2 linked regions of the Drosophila melanogaster genome follow. The protein of the gene in region 1 interacts with the protein of each later gene in a biochemical or structural test. Each region holds a gene or a part of one and is shown on either strand. Other genes may lie near its edges.

What was found.
Region 2: the proteins of dgt1 (region 1) and wds form a complex in vitro, tested with the Drosophila melanogaster proteins (one study listed by BioGRID).

The regions. Positions count from the first base shown.
Region 1 is NT_033777.3:29,852,411-29,862,648, reverse strand, and holds dgt1 (dim gamma-tubulin 1), read left to right. Parts: upstream 1-5,157; 5' UTR 5,158-5,251; coding exon 5,252-5,762; intron 5,763-5,815; coding exon 5,816-6,008; intron 6,009-6,074; coding exon 6,075-6,238; intron 6,239-6,295; coding exon 6,296-6,696; coding exon of another isoform or gene 6,697-6,705; exon of another isoform or gene 6,706-7,000; coding exon 7,001-7,501; 3' UTR 7,502-7,519; intron 7,520-7,605; coding exon of another isoform or gene 7,606-7,791; 3' UTR 7,792-7,954; downstream 7,955-10,238. Other genes in the region: RpS8 (ribosomal protein S8), read right to left, coding at 344-450, 715-718; CG15514 (uncharacterized protein), read left to right, coding at 1,295-1,942, 2,014-2,295; CG7824 (uncharacterized protein), read left to right, coding at 3,778-3,874, 3,931-4,892; Cad99C (cadherin 99C), read right to left, coding at 8,341-8,476, 8,542-9,267, 9,337-9,455, 9,521-10,048, 10,118-10,238.
Region 2 is NC_004354.4:2,581,362-2,591,217, forward strand, and holds wds (will die slowly), read left to right. Parts: upstream 1-4,618; 5' UTR 4,619-4,917; coding exon 4,918-5,188; intron 5,189-5,399; coding exon 5,400-6,025; intron 6,026-6,079; coding exon 6,080-6,268; 3' UTR 6,269-6,856; downstream 6,857-9,856. Other genes in the region: AANATL7 (arylalkylamine N-acetyltransferase-like 7), read left to right, coding at 1,679-2,365; CG13760 (uncharacterized protein), read right to left, coding at 2,931-3,034, 3,102-3,241, 3,306-3,574, 3,637-3,846.

The sequences.
Region 1 (10,238 bases):
ACACGCGTTAACATCATTTAACATTGCATTTGTATATTAGGACCAATTATCTCATACTTTTCACAGATTTGTCGGTGAATTCCAACTTAAACTTAGATAGGCATGTAAACAATCTCTTAAAATAAAACATGGTATAACGATCATTGAAAACAATCGCAATCGTACGACATAAAAACCATGTGTATACTATCCAAGTCACGATGGTAAGATAAAAACAATGAAAATGTGCTTGGTTTTCAAGCACACATTTCGGCACCGACCAATAAAACTTAATGGGAGTATGAGAAACTGGACCCTGGCATTCGAATACACGCCATTGCGATTATCCGGAGATTATCCTTACCTTGGTGTTGGCGGCGGGGCGTCCCAACTCGAACTTGCGCTTCTTGCGGAGCGACTTGCGCTTGCCTCCGGTGGCCCGGCGTTTGTGTGCACTATCGCGGCTAATACCTGGTGATTGAGAAATAGGTCCATGTTAGTACAAGGCGCACGGAAAAGTCGAAAAAAAACCAAGAACATGGGCACGTTTGGGGGCGCACTAAAAAGAGCCGCACCAAGTTAAATTCACGGATATTTATTTAAATTCACACATTCCCCGTTGCTTTTTTCTCGATGCTGTTGTAAACGTACTTTGTGCGCACTTTCATGGTGTTTGCAGGCCGTATTGAGCCCATTTTCTTGATATTTCGACGCAATTTGCGAGAGTCGACTTACCCATGTTCGAGTAAAAAGCGAGAAAGAAAGGAAAAGACACGCACAGCACCTCGTGTCAAAAAAGTAGGGTTATCTTTTTGACAGTTGCCGCGGTTGGGCAACTCTGCGCTGTTAGCGCGCGCTCTACAGTACACTCGGTGCTGTTACATTAATTCAAATATTAATTTTTAGCACCTGGAATCAGTGAAATTTAGTTAAAAATGTATGAAGCAATGTGAAACCAATTATTTTTATGAGCCATAGTGGTAGATTGTATTTACTAATATCTAATTATATTGCTTTACAATTAAGATATATATCAGGACATGTATTTTGGAATACAACAGGAGCACTTATTTAATTATAAACTTAACATTTGAGAATACCACTACTGCTGTCGAAATATATTACCCGTTGAATAAGGTGTGGCCAGCTTGCGTTCGTAACAGCTCGGTAAAATGTTAGCTTGTGGCTTCGCGCACACGGTCACACCCTCATTTTGCACCGAAAATAAAAGCAATTTGATAAATAAACGCGACAATTGCCACCAAATTGGCCAGGAGCAGGCGAAACTGCAACTCCCGGATTTGCGGAAGCAGCTATGGTTGGGAAAAACTTCAAGGCTCTAGCGCACTTCCACCGACTGACCGAGTACATAGTTCAGTGCAAACACTGCGAGAAGACATTGTCCTCCAAACACACATCCTCCAACTTGACGCGCCACTTAATCCGGAACCACAAGCTCTTGGCCCGATCAATTTTTGCCGGCGAGGAGGGTAAGATGCTGGCGGAGCTGAAGGACGAGCTGGAAGCCTCCGCCTCCGAGGACCTGAGCATGGAGCTCGGAGAGGGCGAGACCAAGTCGGCGGTGCGCGGCATCATGAACGCGAAGCTCGAACAAGAGCAGATGGAGCGGCACAGCCAGGAGGAGATGCGCAACAAGGTCATTGGGAAGAACAATAAACTGTGGGCGCACTTTATCCGCATCTCCGAATTCATGGCCAAATGTATGCACTGCGGCAAGACGCTCTCCTCGAAGCACTCGTCCTCCAATCTGATGCGACACATTGTGCGTCGTCACACCAGCCTGGCCAAGACGCTGAATCACTCGCACCAGCACCTCATGACACCCAAGAAGGACTCCTACGCCAGCCTGGAGCGTAGGCAGGCGGCTGATCCCCTGGAGAAAGTCAACTTTGACGATGTGGACAGCATCATCGAAAAGGTGGCCGATCACCTTGAAGAAGAGGTTTGTCCACGGACCACTTCCGCTCCCCTACCCACATTTAGCCTCTACATGCTTTCGATCTTTGATTTAAGGTCACTTCGATTTCGCTGCAGGAACCCTTCTACGAGTACGTTGTGGACAACTCGGACTCCGTGGTGGTGGACAGGTGCGATGAGCCGGAGCCGGCGGAGATGCAGAACATGATTCCGCAGGACAGCGCCTCGCTGGCGGAGTCCACCACACAGCTGGACGAGAAGCTCAAGGCGGAAACGATATACTACAACGAGATGGCCGAGTTGGCCAGGGCCAAGCGGCGGCTCATTGATCTGCAGACCAAAAAGCTTCTCCTGGACATGAACGTAGTGGACAACTAGCCCATCGACGATTGGAACGGCTTGTGTTTGTAGGTGGATAAGGCGGGCAATATGATTATTTACACTTAGGTATGATTATACTTTAAACGATTTTATGATCTGAGCATTTATTGTGCGGGGGATTAATTTCCACGAGGGAAGGGCATAGAAATTGAAAGAGAAGTAATTTGGCCATTGCATGTTATTCTTATGTCCTTTTATTAATTTATATATTATTTGTAAAAAGTGCCGGCTTAAAAGCGATCATTTCAGCTCGTAAATAAACTTCACCGTTACGCTTAGAGTTAGTAACAAACTGTAGCTCAATTATGTGTTATTAATATGCTTAATCTAGGATTCTACTCATTGTAACTAAACGCACATTCAATAGTGAGCACTGTACTTAAACGGTGGGAAATACCGGATATTTGCACTACAAGATTAATAATTATGTTGCGGTCACACTCCTCGATAACTTCCAATATCGAAGTAGGTTGTGTCAGTTATCGCTAGAAAGCAGGCAGAGATTTGTTTACTTCTGCGAAGATTAATTCAGCAGAAGCACGGAAATACGGATCCTTAATCATGACTAGATATTCACGTAAAAACCAGGCCTTGCTTCAACTCCCCGTTCCTTGGAGAACAGGAACGTAAAACCGGCCTATAAGGGTATGTTAGCCGGGTATCTGGTGCACCCACATTATTAAGTTGAGACCCCTCTTAGTTTCCTAGGGCTTGGAACGGAGGGGGAAAGTGATACTTCAAACGTGTCAAGGAGTAGGGTAGAACGCTCTTGATGTGTTCAGCGCAGAGCACCAATCAGTAGCGATCAGCAGCAACGTAAGCGAAACGGACCATCGGACTCAAATGGGAAGAATCACAAACGGAGATGCAGATGCATCTGTCTATTTAGGCCTGGAAGTACAAGGAGTTGATCCAGGACAACCCGACAATGGCCCTGGTAGACGAGCGCCACGCAGACGGCTGCTTGCTCTTCGAAAAGTGGTGTCAGATCGAGGCGAGGCTGGCTCGCATTGTGGCGGATAGACGGGCGGCGGTGCCTCAAGGACCTCACCCGTTGCTTGACTCCTCATTTGTTATTCGAGGACACCGGATGATCAGGTGCTAGGACGGCTTCTCTAAGATCTTCCTAGAGGATTGCATTGAGCAATTAGCCGACGCATGGGATGGACTATGCATTAAGCTTGTTCACGCCAGCGAAATACCCAGTTCAAGTCAAGCGGCCCGTTTTGTTCATCAAGTAAGTAAGAGCTTTTCCTGTTTGTACAAAGACAATACAGTTTATGAAATAAATAAACGATTGAAGGAACGAATTTGGATTGTTTTTAAATTCCGCCCTGGTTTGCGCCACCGCTGATTGTCTATCATGGGTTGCAACCACGTGGAACTACAGTTATTTTTAGGCCTTTTTTCGCGCTTCGATGGTAAACACATTTTGTTTATTGCTTAGCTCTGAGAAACCAAGACGCAATAATTGACAAAATGTCCAGTATTTGGACAAAAAGGAAGGACTCTTTCTGCAATAACGAAAATATAAGGGCTCAGAAGTTCGAGGATGTGATTGTAATCGATGACAATGGTAAGTCGTGTGTTGTCAGCCTTCTCGATGCTAACTGCTACACTTGGTCCTTCAAGATCGTGGCGACTCTCTCCGGAGTGTAAAATCCGAGCCCCCTGAAGAAAAGCCCCGCTTATCTCCACAGGACGCTAATCAAAAACGTGCAGTAAAGGAGGAGAAGGAAATGTCCAGGCGCGCACGCGCTCGAGCCAAGAAAATACGGAATACAGAGGCAAGAGCAGCGAAATCGGTGGTTACCAGGGGTGCGGGTAAAAAAGCAAGGAAGCGTAAGAAGCAAAATAAAGCGGCACTCAAGAAGGCTAGTGAACTTGAACCCAAAAAGGCAAAGGGCTCCAAGGAGGCTAGTGCCCACAAGAAGGCAAAGGGACCCAAGAATACAAGTCCTCCTATGGCTGCGAAGCCCAATTTGGCAAAGAGTGACAACCTGACGATGGCCCTGGTGGACGAGCTCCACGAAGACGGCCGTCTGCTTAACGAAAGGTGGCAGGAGGTCGAGGCCCAGCTGGCGTACATGGTGACTGACAGAGTCATGGCCATGCCGGGGGGTCCCGTCCCGTCCTTCGATAGCTCAGACGTAGTTCGTGGCCACCGAGTGATCCGGTGCGAAGACGGATTTTCAAAGGTATTCCTGTCGGACTGTGTTGCCGCGATTAGCAACTCGTGGCATGACATGCGCATCAAGCTCGTCCATGTCAGCGATGTACCATTTGCGCCTCAGGCGCGCATCTGGTTGCCCACGGGTCAAACGGACCACAACCGGATCATGATCTGCTTGAGAGCCCAGAACCTAAATGTGGACATGTCGGACTGGTCCATCCTCAGGGCGGAGGAAGTCATGGAGATCAGTCAGAGTTTCCTGCTCCTTATCAACCGGAGGTGCATCCCGCAACTGGATGCAGTGGACTACAAGTTGCGCTATGGCATACGAATGGCCCAGATCCAGCTCATTTTAAGCGAAGCAGACGATTTGCCATCGGAGTTCGACAACTACCACCCATTTTGCCATTTTCCCCATTAAACCATAAATCCTCAGGCTCTAAGCTATGTTTATTAGAGTAATAATATTGTTAGAGAAAGAAACGAATTTCATAACCTAATAAATCTCCAATTGGTTTTAGATGCCAACTTAGACAGCATTTTTATCAAATTTAACCTTAATCTTAAGATATTTTTAAATATAGAAACTCAACATGGGAGGTGGGATACCCTCTTTTGGTTCATGGCGATGCTGACTGGTTGGCAAGCGTGACAACGTGTGGGGTATTTATGCTCTACTTTGCTGTGGTCACACTGTTTCCACAGCATTTTATTTCATTTCGCTTCGTCTGAAAAATCAGAGAACAATTTCTAAAAAGCGGCAAAAATCTTGAAAGGACGATGTCCAGCTTTTCGCCAAACCAATTGCGGCAGTGCGCCCGCTTCACCGGCACGCCCTGCACTCCGGACAAGGAGCACCAGCTGCGGGAGCAGATCCACAGCGAGCTGGTCAAGATTAAGTACTGCGCCAATCCCACCTACGAGTGCAGCCTGATGCGGATCGAGGGCTACGAGTATTGCATCCGACACATCCTGCGCGACCCGCGCTCCAACTTCCGACAGTGCTCGCACGTCTACTCGAACGGCAGGAAGTGCATCAACGCGGTGGCCAAGTATGACAACAAGAAGGAGCTGATCCTGACGACCCTCTGCTTCGAGCACAACCGGCAGACGCAGCTGCAGAAGACGCACATGAATGTGGGCCGCATTCGCAGCCGGGTGGAGACCAACGAGACCCTGCTGCACAGCCTCTCATCGCACATTAATGTGGAGGACATAAAGCCAGAGGTGAAAAAGATCGAACGCGATGATGATGAAATCGATGTGGTCTCACCCCACGTGACGCCATTTGGTATGTCTTGCTGACTATAAACCGAGCTGAAATCTAATTTTCCTCACTTCTAGTCACTCAGGATCACCGCAATTCCATAGGACATGTTGTGGAGAGCTCTCGCAAGCGACGTCGCATTTTGGATTATGCTTCCGATAGTTCCAGCAACGATGCAGATCCGCCCTGTCTCAGGAACACCGCCCAGGACATTGAGTTTTACGAATCTGACCATGAGAGTATCGATTCGGAGGATGATGATCCTTTGAAGTAAGATTTGATTTATTCGTAGCACTATTTTTTAAGGAAATTTTAATTTTTTCTTCTCCCTTGTAGACACGCTGGCGTCTTTACACGCGCAGAGGCAGTAAAGATTGCCGAAACGAAGCTGATCAAGCTTCAGGGTCTTTACCGCGAGCAGATTTCATATCTGCAGAACGTGCTGAGGCAGCGACGTCGCAAGTATTTGCACGATATACGACGCGAGCGAGAGCTATATTGTAAGTTTCACTTGCCTTTAGGTATGCAGGATAATGTGTCTTATGCCACACTTTCAGGCAGCATTCACGATCAGCTAAAGGACACGCCACACGAGCGAAAGCTGTACGAGCAGCTAAAGGCGCTGAATAGCTATCATCGACGCCAGGGCGTCGAGGCGGTGCTCTACAAGAAACTGAAGGAGAAGCGAGCTCGCGACGCCTTGTACGCAGCCAAGTCGTCGAGCAACCCGAAGTGCGTCTTCACCGAAGGCGGTGTCAAGTGTGGTGAGCGAACGCTGCCCTGCTGCAAGCACTGCCGCAAGCACATTCTGGAGGATAAGCGCCAGGTGCTGTTCCGAGCCTGCGGCGTGGAGCGGAGTGGGGTGGTCTGCCAGGAGCCAGTGGCTAGCATTCTCGAAGACTCCAGTTGCGTACTGCACCTGACCGTGGCGCCGGCTAAGCGCCAGTATATACAAAAGGTGCGTTGATCAAACACTAACCCAACCCACGCCATAACCACCACAAGTAACTGCTTATATATTCCAACTGTCCACTCACCCATTGCCATAAGTTGTGTTGCACATGACTGCTGAAACTATAGTAAGCCAACTGTAAGACAGTTCGAACAAACAATACTGCGTAACTAGTATTTAGGCTTGATTTGTAGTAAAGCTAAGTATATCTAGAGAAACAACACGAAACACATGTATATAAGTGCTAGTACTGTCTAAGCAAGCCCTTTGTGATCGACCCTGAATAAATTGCCGACCTCTCATCCCCCAGTTTTATGAAGTTCCCAGCACTCCGCCGGTAGAAAGTATTTTCGCAGCAGGCCGTGGTCTCGATAACTTTGTCGGAGAAGACCCACGGAATGAGCCGCAGCCGGAGGGGGATGACCTCTTGGATTTTGCCAATGGTATATTCGATTTTGACCTTGACGGAGTTGACGATCTGGCAAACTCCCTCGACGATGATTACTCCATGTTCCTGGACATGGACAGTGACCTGGGCTTAGCCATTGAAGATGACGGTGTGGAGAGCGATCCTGTAGACTTAGGCCTCGAGGAGGAGGGCGATGGCGGGTCCAACGACTCAGTTGGTCCAGCTGAAAGTCAGGCTCAAGATAACCTCATCGCAGACAACTTTGAGTTAGAAGAACCATCCGTGCAAGACAATAACGAACTTAACTTTGATATCGACGAGTCGGAGAGCAATGTGAACGAAGTGTTGCGCTTGCTCGAGGGCATAGAACACATGCCCTGGTTCGATGCCCTCATGAACTAGTCTAATAGCGTAGTAAACGTAATAACCCACCATACTAACCCAAATCCAGAAAAAAGCCCAAAGTATCTCTTCTTCTCATGCTTGCAATTCCCTTTACTTCACAGAAATGCGAATCGGAGACCGAGGAGGAGGAGACCCAGTCCACCAGCTTGATTAGCACCATAAAAAAGGAGGAGGAGGACCCCTCGGATAAGCTGTATACGAGTCAAGCCCTCAACGTGACCACCGCACATGGCGAAGACAACAAGGGCGACGTGAAGCCCAGGGAGTACGCCCCAAACAGATCTTAAACTAATTTTTAAGCCCTCGTAGATTAAATGTTTACTGTTGCAATCATAGAAACCTAGATATAAATCTCCGACACGAAAATGTCAGTTGGTTTTGTACTCAGCCATTGTAGTTTTTGGTGCATTCGGGTGTAAGGAACCCCTAATAAATAGGCACTCTTAAGTTAAAAATCTATTTATTTACATTTATTGGCTTTCCATAGTTTATACAACTTAAACAGTTTATATTAATGCATGTACATGTTTTCAACAATTCCTAAAGAAAACGACTGCGTCTGGCAGTTTCGTAAGTGTGTGGGAAGTATGCACTCTGCGTTCGCTTAAATATAATGACTGTAATTATTTGATCTTAAGCACGGTTAAATATATTAGTTATCAGTTCCTCCATTCTGCATCTCCGCTCAGGTATTTACAGATTGCTCGTGCTATGATCATAAATTGATGGCAACCGCTCTCGTTGTTAAAATGCACTATTAAAATTACAAATTGGCAGCTAAGTATATTAACAAGTCTGTAAAATGTATCGAAACCAGAATATTCCTAGTGTATTCCCTACAGTTCCGTAGTTGTTTCCACCTCCGACCTATCCAGATCGTTTAGATATGAGAACCCTATTTGGCCATAGTCCCTCTTCCCGAAGGACACGTTCTCATTGGTGCTGCTCAGGTGGTTGTGATCGGAATTGGATCTGCAGGATAGAGGGTGTTACCAATTATAGTTATAGTTATAAACTAGGAAGTAAGCTATGCATACCTTTGAAACAGCGGGTTGGTGATGGGCACCTCTCCGCCGTACAGGCGATTGTTGAGCTGGCCATTCCGACCCAGCGTGGCGTTCATCAGCTCCCCGTTGCCATTGAGCAATCCCACGTCGCCGAAGGTGTTTCCCCGCCTGCCCATGGTGCTGTAGGCATTGTTCTTGGCATGGGCCATGTTGTTGGGCCCAGTTGGGTCTATGTTGTAGGCGCCGTTCTGGTAGTGGTTGCTGTTCTGGTGCTTGATGCGGCCCAAAGTCAGGGTGCCCGAGAGGGCTCCGTTCGGCGGAGATGCCAGCGGATTGGCGTTGTTGCGGGTGTTCATCTCCAGGGTTCTATTGAAGGTGTTCTGCCTGTTGTTGATGGCCAGATTGTTGTTCATGCTGGCGTTATTGAGATTCTTATGGCGGCGCAGAGTGGCAATCGTGGCCGTGGTGGCATCCGAGTGGGAGGGACTGGACTGGCCACCGCCGTTGGTGTTCTCCTTGTGCGTTATGTAGCTAACATTGTCCAGCGAGAAGGCATGGTTCTTGGCACTAAAGTCCAGCTGCAGATCATCGTCCACATCCGGTGGCACTGCCATGGCCAGCATCTGGGTCTCGTACTCCTTCATGTTGGCTATGGTTTCGCTGGCACTCGAGGCCTGCTGGTTAACGATCACGGGATCGTAGCGGGGAGGATTCGTGGAGGAGTACTGGCGCATCCGCTGCTTGAAGTTCTTGTACCTATAAAGAGCAAGTGTGTATGCAAAGATTTAAGTAAAAGTAAATAGAGGTTACATGTTATCCACTCACTTTGACCAAGAGATGCATATGTAAATGATGCCAATCGTGCCCAGGATGAGTATAACAAGTGATATGGCAATCAGAGTGAAGGGGAAGACTTCGTTGTCGATGGCTACGGCGGCTTTGACCTGGAAGTGCCAAAGCTATATATAGTATATCCTAAGAAAAAGTAGTAGTAGAATTAGTTGCCCACCTTGTGAACGTGCTCCTTCCTCTCCAGGGGAAACGATATATTCTCGGCTGTGGCTCGCGGCAGGGCTATGTTCAGCTCCGATCGCGCAGCCGGTTCCAGTAAAGTGGTCTCCACAATGCTGTCCTTACGGCTGACGAGCTGCTCCGTCTTGGGATCGATGAGGTAGAACCATATGTCCGTAGCAGCCGGGTTCTCGATCACCGATCCGTTCTTGGCCAGGTACTTCTGGCTGCTCATCCGTTCAATGCCGCTGACCAGGCCGGTCTTCTTGTCCAGCAGCTCCTCCAGCTCCGTGTAGTAGTTGCGGAGATCGCTGGGCGCTGCATTCGGGAAGGATAGCGCCATGCGGTTGATGTCCGCCAGCTTATTGACCACTATCCTGGCCCTCGTGCGATGGGATCCCTGCTCCTGGCCATCGCTATCACGGGCTTCCACCAAAAAGGTGAGTGGAAAGTCGTTTTCGTTCTTGAAGTGCTTGGCAGTTCGTAGAACTCCAGTGTCTTCGGACATCATGAAGAAGCTGGTGGGCTGGAAACATCATATGATAATTATCAAAAAAAAAAATTCATTGCCTAATGTAGAGTATAGATTTCTCACCATGTTAACCCGGTTTTCATCGTCGTCGTAGAGAGTGTAGCGAACGGTTCCAAATTTCCCCGAATCACGATCTGTGGCTCGCACCTGCAAAATGGTTGTGTCAACATCCATTTCCTCCGTC
Region 2 (9,856 bases), on another chromosome or scaffold:
ATTTGAATACGGGTCCAATTGTCGTCTTTTCAGCACTTTTGTGCAGAGCGAGAAATTATTGAAGATTCAGAAACTATTACCAAGTAATTCGACTATTTTATGCATCGGATTGGTTTCGACTTAAAAGATAGAAAGATTTCTTTTCAGTGCAGTCCAGGCCACGTGTTCGCCACAATTGGTCATAGCAAACTGGGCTGATAATTAATGAACGTAATGAATATGCATAGCAGGGAGTTAGTTACGCGGCGAGAAAGGTCAAAGTGGGTGGCCATTTTTGGTCAAGCAACAGTTGGTGTCTGTCTAGACTTCACGATGAGGCAAGGTCATGCTGACTACCTAGGAAATTCGTCTTCATACCATGTACATACACATATACATAATAGTTATAACATATATCAATTTAGAACATATTCAACACCCTATTTTTGAGTCGTAAGCGACAACAACTATTCATTCCGCCTCTCATATTGTGCCATATAATCAAAGGATAACACGGGTTGCCCCCTCACTTACTTAATGGTGGTAATGTCACGTTCTCGTCCTGGTCGAGAGTCAAAATCTGTATATGAGTGCGGCTCACATTGTGCGGCGGAATCAACAGTTGGTGCGTATACCACACGTATTTTTCGTGGCGCATTTGGGGCGGTGGAAACTCTCGATTTCACTGTACTTCGGCACACAAGTCACGAGCAGGCGGCAATCGCTCCCATTGCTCCAGTGTGCGTATGTTGCGTATACGCATGGCTGTCACTCGAAGGATACGAGCTCCCCGCTCCCTGTCCATACTTTAATTTCAACCCATCCCAGAGGATAGCATTTTTCTCATGCTTCGGCAATGAGGCAAACACGAGGGCGTACACGCAGCGAAAATTTGAAGTCAATTGGAGTGGTTTGACCTACAAATAACGTGTGAAATACTATTGAAACCCAAAGGTTTTTAGAGCTACACTTACGTGGAATGCGAAGTAATTTCAATTTTCATTGGTTTGCAGTTAGAAGTCTAACTTGGTCTGAGTATTTTCTCGATGTGTATTAACGGGATGCTGTCGCTGGCGCTTCGCTTGGTCGGCTGCTCCAGCTGCTCCAGTCGCATTTCGCATCTGAAAGCGCCCGCAAGTAGGTTACACATTTTTTCGTCGAGCAAAACAAACAGCGCACCTCTGCCCGCCGTCCAGCTCATCCGATCCCGATCCCATTGGCCACAGACGAACTGAGTAAGTGGAACTAACTAACAAAATCCAGCACCGAAATCGGTTGGCCACGGATGACACCGCTTTGGTCGCGGTGCCTGGGATTAGGTGGGCTATTCTCGCAGGGGGGGTGGCATTCGTTGGGGGTGTGTCATTGGGGCAACACAAAGAATAGTGAAAGTGCAGTGGGAGCGAGCGAGAGGCAAGAGGTCGAGAGTTGAAAGGACAGGCAGAGAGTTGCGACTAATTGAGTTATAGGAAAAGAGTACCCACATGTATGTACCTAGACTTTTGCAAACGAAAATTAAAATTAAAAAAATTAATAGTGCTTAAATGTACGGTTGTAATGTAATGCGTACTTACCATTCGAATTTAGTTTATATTTTAAATCATCGAGATCTATTAGTAATAATATTATTAATAAGCTCCTCCCATAGATCTTCTTTACCATCCGCAGACAATTCGGCGATTGCAGCGGCTGTGACACCATGGAGTACAAGATGATTGCACCGGAGCACAGTGAACAGGTGATGGAGCATCTGCGGCGCAACTTCTTTGCCGACGAGCCGCTAAACAAGGCCGCCGGCTTGTGCCAGAACGGCAGCAGTTGCCCCGCCCTGGAGGCGCACTGTGCCGAGGCCATACAGCACCGGATGAGCGTGATGGCTGTGGACGCAAAGGAGAAGGATACCTTGAAAATAGTCGGCGTCGTCCTCAATGGCATCCTGAAGCCGGGCGACACGGCCAAGGCGCTGAGCAAGCTGGACTGCAACGACGATGCAGATTTCCGCAAGATTTTCGACTTGCTGCACAGGCACAATCTCAAGCACAATCTCTTCGAGCACTTCGACGTGGACTGCATGTTCGATGTGCGCATCCTATCGGTGGACTCGTGCTACCGTGGCCAGGGGATTGCGAATGAGCTGGTCAAGCGGTCCGTGGCGGTGGCCAAAAAGAATGGCTTTCGCCTGCTGAAGGCCGATGCCACCGGCATCTTCTCGCAGAAGATCTTTCGTTCCCATGGCTTTGAGGTCTTCTCGGAGCAACCCTACAGCAAGTATACGGATGAGAATGGCAAGGTGATCTTGCCCGTGGAGGCGCCCCACATCAAATTGCAGCAGCTCTACAAGGCGATCTGCGCGGATGACCAGGATGAGAAGAAGCAGTCGCTTTAAGGAGTCACCCGGCTGGCTCACATTTGGAACAATAATCTCATTTATTTTCTACATATACATACATTGCATAATCGTTATTGGAATGTTTTCGTACTACAAATATGGAAATTAGTTGGGGGGCGTTTAACGGAAAGTTAAAGCTAGGGAACAATTACTATTGTTCTGTGTTTAAACATAACTATGAAATAACATTGGATTTTCGGACTTTCCGTCGACGGTTTTTGGAGCGTCAATGGAACGCCTCTATAATGTACGAGTAGACGCTGCCTGGCACGTTTACATAAATATAATTTTGTAATTGTTTTTTTTTGTATGGGGACCAACTGCTAACAATACCTAAATAAAGTACACTGTTGTGCCAAAGTTAACCAGACAGCTTTTTCTCTTACCTCCCACTCGAAGTCCCCCCCTACAAGGTCTCCTCCTAAAGTCCTAATATCACAAGCGCAGATTCCAATCATCCGTTCTCATCACCTGGCAACCTGGCGACGGCAGGTACTTCTGTTCATCTGTTCATCAATTCATCTGTTCATTTGTTCATCTGTTCCGCTGGTTTATCCATCTACTACTCCCTAGTTTCCTTCTTCTCGTATATGAAAATGATGTCCTCGTCCGTGCCGTAGGCGCGTCGGGCCGTGTCCATGGACTCGATGAGGCAGCGACAAATGTCTGTGGAACGCAGCCAAAAACGAAAATCAATGAATTTTCAAGGATTGCTACCAAATGGAATACTCACGGCCATCGTGGACCTCGGGATTGTGGTAGAAGAGCTTCTGGGCGGCCATGTCATATCCGCAGAGCACCACATAGTGTCCGGCATACCTTTTGGGTCCATGGAGGCGTGTATTTTGAGCAATGCAGGGTATATGAAAACAGCTTTTCATTCGAGTGTGGATTTAAGGTGGTTTTTTGTGAATCGCCGGTGGCAAGAGGAACTCACCCGAACTTCTCTAGGACATTGCGCTTGCACACCTCGCACGTGAGCAGCGAGGCGTTGGTCAGCAGGATGACGGGTCCGTGGCGGGCCAAATGCCGCAGAATGACCTCCATGTCCACGGTGCGCTGTTCAACGCGCAGTCCATGGGCCCGGGCGTCCTTGAACTTGCGCGTCACGCGCCGTTCGTCCTTGTCGATGATCTTGGAGTAGTACGTGTGCTGCGCGTAGTTGGGATCGATCCCGAGCGTTTGGGTGAAGTACTCGTGGCGCACCTGGCCAAGAAGAGAGTGTCAAAGAAGTGAGCGAATGCAAATGTGCATCACGGCATGCCCACCTGGTAGCGCATCAGCAGATAGCACAGGTCGATGGTCCAGGTGCTCGAGCCAAATCCCTCCTCGCCGCACACGGCATCAAAGTTCCCAAGAAGCTGTTCCCTTTGCTGCGCCGACAGGATCATAATGATGCAGGACAGACCGCAGTCCCAGTTGTAGCGCTGCTGGTAGTGCGTCAGGTTGTAGTGCTTGCTCGGCGGCAGTCCGTTCATTCTGGCCAGCAGCTGGGCTCTTCTTGGCTTCTTGTGCTCCTCGGGTCCTCGAGTCCTTGGCTCCGTGTGCTTCGCGTGCTCCTGTGCCCGCGGCTGCGCTCCTTTGATCCTGGCGTCCAATTGGAAACTGAACTGGGAATGTTTTGGTCTAACAGCTTGGGCCAGTGTGGCCAGGTGCAGCTGTCTGCGGAATGCCAACTGTCGGCTATGTCCAGTTGAAAAAAATGCCAATTGAATTTTTTTAGATATATATTGTAAATATTGTAATTAAATAATATTTATACATAAATTGTGAGTCGCCAAAGGAGTTAGATGTATTTTCCTACAAATCTTGGTTGCTGCTAGGAAATTTTTGGTTTGAAATCTTAAAGGCGCAAAAAATGTTCTAACACTATGTAAATCCTTCTTAAGCCCTTCAAAATTGACAGTTCAGTTAGAATTACCTGCAATTTTAAGACTAAATAACTACTGGCAATTGGTATAAATTTAAATGCAACTGTACGCGAAACTTCAAACATGTATGAAACGATCTGGCAACGTCGAGCTAACTGCATGCAATTTGGCATCGATGTGCCCGATGCACTCCCCCTGATAGTTTCAGCGGGAAACTAAGAGTCCCATTCTAGAATCATCCCCCAAGGACGAAAACATCCCAAATCTCCCTAAAAAAAAAAACAAAAAGCAAGGAATCGAGTAAACACGTTCCACCACCGCTGTGGCAATCCGTGGCTGGTGCGCAACGGCCACACTGACGCGCTGACCAATTTTTAGTTATTAGTGTGACCTTAAGCATTATTATTTTCACGTGTGGCACGCAAACGAGCCAAAAAACCAAGCGCCTATTTAAACAAACAAATCACACGCCCAGCAGAGAGAGCAGCCGGTGACCACCGGTAACGGGAGTAGCTGCAGTTAATCCGACAGGCCCAACAAATTCGCCCGCTAATTGGCGGCGTTTCTCTAGTCGGAACAACAAGAAGAAGAAGCACGTGTGCGGCGTGCCAAAGAAAAAAGGAAAATAAACAAGGAGGCCAGGCCAAGGAGCATAAGCAGAATCCGCATCCGGAGGACATGGTGCCCATCGGAGCCGTGCACGGCGGCCATCCCGGCGTAGTGCATCCGCCACAGCAACCACTGCCCACGGCGCCCAGCGGCCCAAACTCGCTGCAGCCGAACTCGGTGGGCCAGCCGGGGGCCACCACCTCCTCGAACAGCAGCGCCTCCAACAAGAGCTCGCTATCCGTCAAGCCCAACTACACGCTCAAGTTCACGCTGGCCGGGCACACCAAGGCGGTGTCGGCGGTCAAGTTCAGTCCGAATGGCGAGTGGCTGGCCAGCTCCTGTAAGTACATACATCCCTATCCACGAATATCTGGGGGGGAATTTTATGGTACTGAACTGCTATTGGACTGAACAGGCAGCTTTGGCAGCTCAGTTAATGGGAATTGGGATGAAATAAGATCTCGGAAAAGAGAAGAAGCATTTATAGAATACATATTGTACATTCCATACATACAGCACATGCCTATTAAACTTCCACTTCTAACCCTCAGCCGCTGATAAACTAATCAAAATCTGGGGAGCATACGATGGCAAGTTCGAGAAGACCATTTCGGGCCACAAGCTGGGCATCAGCGATGTGGCCTGGAGCTCAGACTCGCGACTCCTCGTGAGCGGCAGTGATGACAAGACGCTCAAGGTCTGGGAGCTGAGCACCGGGAAGAGCTTGAAAACTCTGAAGGGCCACAGCAACTATGTGTTCTGCTGCAACTTTAATCCGCAGTCCAATCTGATCGTCTCCGGCAGCTTCGACGAGAGCGTTCGCATATGGGATGTGCGCACCGGCAAGTGTCTGAAGACTCTACCCGCCCATTCCGATCCCGTTTCGGCGGTACATTTCAATCGCGACGGATCGCTGATCGTGAGCAGCAGCTACGACGGCCTCTGTCGCATATGGGACACGGCCAGTGGACAGTGCTTGAAAACCCTGATCGACGACGACAATCCGCCCGTCAGCTTTGTAAAGTTCTCGCCCAATGGCAAGTACATTTTGGCCGCCACGCTGGATAATACGCTCAAGTTGTGGGACTACTCGAAGGGCAAGTGCCTGAAGACGTATACGGGTCACAAGAATGAGAAGTACTGCATATTCGCCAACTTCTCGGTGACGGGAGGAAAGGTGAGTTCATATCTTATGCACATTTAGGCTTTAACTCACAAGCGTCCATTGTAGTGGATCGTGAGTGGCAGCGAGGACAACATGGTCTACATTTGGAATCTGCAGAGCAAGGAGGTGGTGCAAAAGCTGCAGGGACACACCGATACCGTTCTGTGCACCGCCTGCCATCCCACGGAGAACATCATTGCTTCCGCGGCGCTCGAGAACGACAAGACCATCAAGCTGTGGAAGTCGGATACATAGAGTGGCTGGTATCCAGCTGGAGGACGTTCGATCGGAACACACACATACATTTCTTGGATAATATTATTTTAAAGCGAACAGCCTAATCGTAATTGTAACACCCCCACACCCCCCCACCACGAGCCCCCTTTTTTTTTTGTACGCATAATTTAAAAAAGAAAAGGAACTCTAAAATTCTACGTTTAAATCACACTTTAAACCTCACATTCTACGGCAAAACGGAAAAATTACAAACAAACAAACAAAAACAAAAAAAAAAAACAACAAAAAGTGAAAACAAAAAAAACGATTAATGTATAAATATTTATTAGCCTATTGTATTGGCCCACCATGCAAGCGAGAATATTCCCCCAAAATTGTTTGTAACCTTTGACACAGCCACGCAAACCAACATAACTTATAATGATCTTTCGGTGACGAGAAAACTAAATTTAAGCGTAAAAGATACAACAGGTGCTCGGGGCAGAATCCCAGCGCCAGAAAGAATATATATAAAATACGAAATGTAAATTTTGAATAAAAGAAAACACCGTCTCGGCGGCGCCCAAGTGTCCTTTCAACTTGCGCGCTTTTCGAGGCGAGACACTTAAATGTACAAATTGCATTTTATTCACATAATAAGAGAAGTTTTAATTCTAAAAAAACATACAGTTTAGCAAAATTACGAAACAAACGAACCTTCATTACGGTTTAAAAGCGATAATAAGTACGTTTAATATATTACGGTTTTTAAATGAATGAACACAGGTATAATACTTAACGTAGACGTTTTCTTTAAGTTATTTATTTTTAAACTCTAGCGCCTATTGGAGTGCGACCCTGCGTTGAGTTCGGTTGAAGAGGGCCACACTGCCCGTTCAGTTTGAACGTTTGCCACTGGATTTCGACAACGGCGCGCGACGGTCACTTGGCGAAACGAAAATCGAAAAAACCGACGAATCGAAACTCGGAGATCACGGATTCGATTCACTTGATTCAGAACCTTGCCGAATCCGAATGCCCCTGCGATGCGCGCGCCAACCCGCTGAACAAAAGTCGCCAAGTGAATTTTGCAATTAATTTGCAAATCAATATCGCTCCGCCGCCGTCGCGCACACACACACACACGCAAGCACCCGCACCGCGCACACATACACACACACACACACACATAGGGACCGCGACACGCATAGTGAGAAAGAAGTGGCAATATAAGCAAAAAAAAGAAAAAAAATACAACGGTCGTGGGAAAATCGATTTTCCTTTTAAACAAATCGCTGTTAGCTTGAGCTTTTCCAAGCGCCTCTGCTGCAATTCCTTCGTTTTTTTTTCCTGTGCAAAGTACGCCGAGAGAGCGGCGTGAACCGGTGCAGAGAGAGAGAGATTAAGTGAGAAGGGGTGAGAGAGTGGAAGAAGGTGTTCATTGGCAGAAAATTAGCAAGGCGACAAACGTTTATAAATATAAACACATATATTCCAATATAAAAATCGCAAATATTAATGACGAGACAAGAGCGCCTGCAACAACAGCAACAACTGCAACAACAGCAGCCCAGCAACCAGGGATTCTAATTCGAAAATAACCCAAACAAATCCAAATCGGCGGGAGCGACAAGGAGGAGAGGAGAGTGCTAAAGAGAGGCGCCAACAAAAGTGTATCATTTAGGAGCGGCACACCCAAGAACGCGGAAAACTCCCGCCCACCCTCGCCACGCCCCTCGCCGACCAGCACACCCATTACCAATACCAATAACAGCAATAATAACAACAACAACAATAACAACAACAGTCTGCAGTGAAGAAACGCAGAGGAAAAGACAGGCGGAGACAGATATAAAACCCAAACATTCGGACACTCGCTCTTCTTCTTCCCAATCCGTTTTGGCATGGAAAACATGGTGAGCAAAGAAAAGCAAGTTGTTAACTTTTCAGGGGCGTAAATCGACAGGGGTTAAGCGCTAATATTCATCGAGCTAAATGTCCGCTTGACGAACTAGTTTAATGAGCTTAACTACCCAATTATTAAACCCATTTAACTGCGCCCTTGGCTAGCCACCCCCCTCACTTTCGACGCCCTTGGACCGCCTATTAGCACATTTCGGTTAACAGCAGTTGTTGTCGCCGTGTGTGTACATATGTGCACAGTGGCGGGCAAGAAAGTAGGTCCTAAGTACAGAGATTTCCAATAATTGCGAGCAGTGTCTTAACTACTGTCCTTACCCGCCCATGTCCTTATTACTTAAGATGAGCAGCATTACCAAATCAGACATTGACAGTACTTTAGTCTTAGACTTTGCATCACAGCCGTGTCTGTTTGGCGCACTGCTCGCGTGTTTTTGTGTAATTTCGCTCCCATGTGGCAATGTGACCTGTTAACTTGGAAAGTTACCCGGTGGATCTCGTGACTCTCGTCTACATCCAATATTCATAGCCAGCGGCGAATGTCCTTGAGCAAGGGGTTGGCCCCCATTTTAACCCCCCGATGGGCGCAGCAGGGCGTGCGCCTAACCCTTATGCCGCCGCTCCCTCGATGACGTACAGTCAACACGGCGATTGAAAGAACGCAGGATGTTTATGATGCTTATGATGCTTATGATGTGCATATGTGCATAACATAAATATATATTCCCAACGAATCCATTGACTACTCAGCGATGCAAACAAAGTTAGCAACGTATTTAGGGCGCAAGAACGGTTTCCGTTGAACGGAAACGTTGACTTTAGCAAACAATTGGGATTGTATTTCGGTTTCAAATAAACATACATAAAGTAGGTTTCCAAGATTCTTAGGCCCTAAGCTAGGTGATACTTTTAGTAAACGTTGATAAACACGAATGAGGAGCAACGACCATATAATGTCCTCCTAAGACAACGCCAACAGCAACTTGATCCGCTGCACTTTCTGTCGAGCTGCTGCAGATAAGGAGAAATGTAGGCTTTAGCTGGTAAACAAACTGGAAAACAGTAGAATGTGGCACACCTTTGTGGCGCGCTTACTTTGCCGACGAAGGAACTTTCCGTTTAGCTCTGGCTACTATATTTGCCATTGTGTTTACTCGGCGGACTGCTCTGTGCAATCCAGTTGTCCATTTGCCCTAATCGAAGGGGATGGGCCAACCGTTTGCATGGCCCCTTTTGTAACTGCCGGCCACATTTTACTTGTGGCCACCATAAGCGAGTGGCTGATTGCGTGCTCTGCTCGCGCTTATCTACGCACGGACACAGACGCATGTTTGTCGCTGTTTGCTCAGTCCATTGCGATAAGCGATTTGGTTCTCTGCTTTTGGTCTCTGGTCTCTTTTGTTTCTTTTGTGCCAGCCGTCGATTTGTGGCCAAAAGGCTGGTGCCTGCGCTGCTTAGTGGGCTGGTGACATAGCATGTGTGGTGCTCGGTCCATGTCCTTGTTGCTATTTTGCCTCACCTCCTGACCTGGCCATGATGTCATGTCGATGGTAGCACGTGCCTGACCCACTGCTAATGTGCGCTCCTAGTTTTCGACATGCAATTATCGTATCCGTCCATCTGCTCCGGTTCTAGCGACGCCAATGAACTAGGCATACAACGAATTGCCATCTGATATGAAGTCCATTTGCATGATGTCTCCAGCTC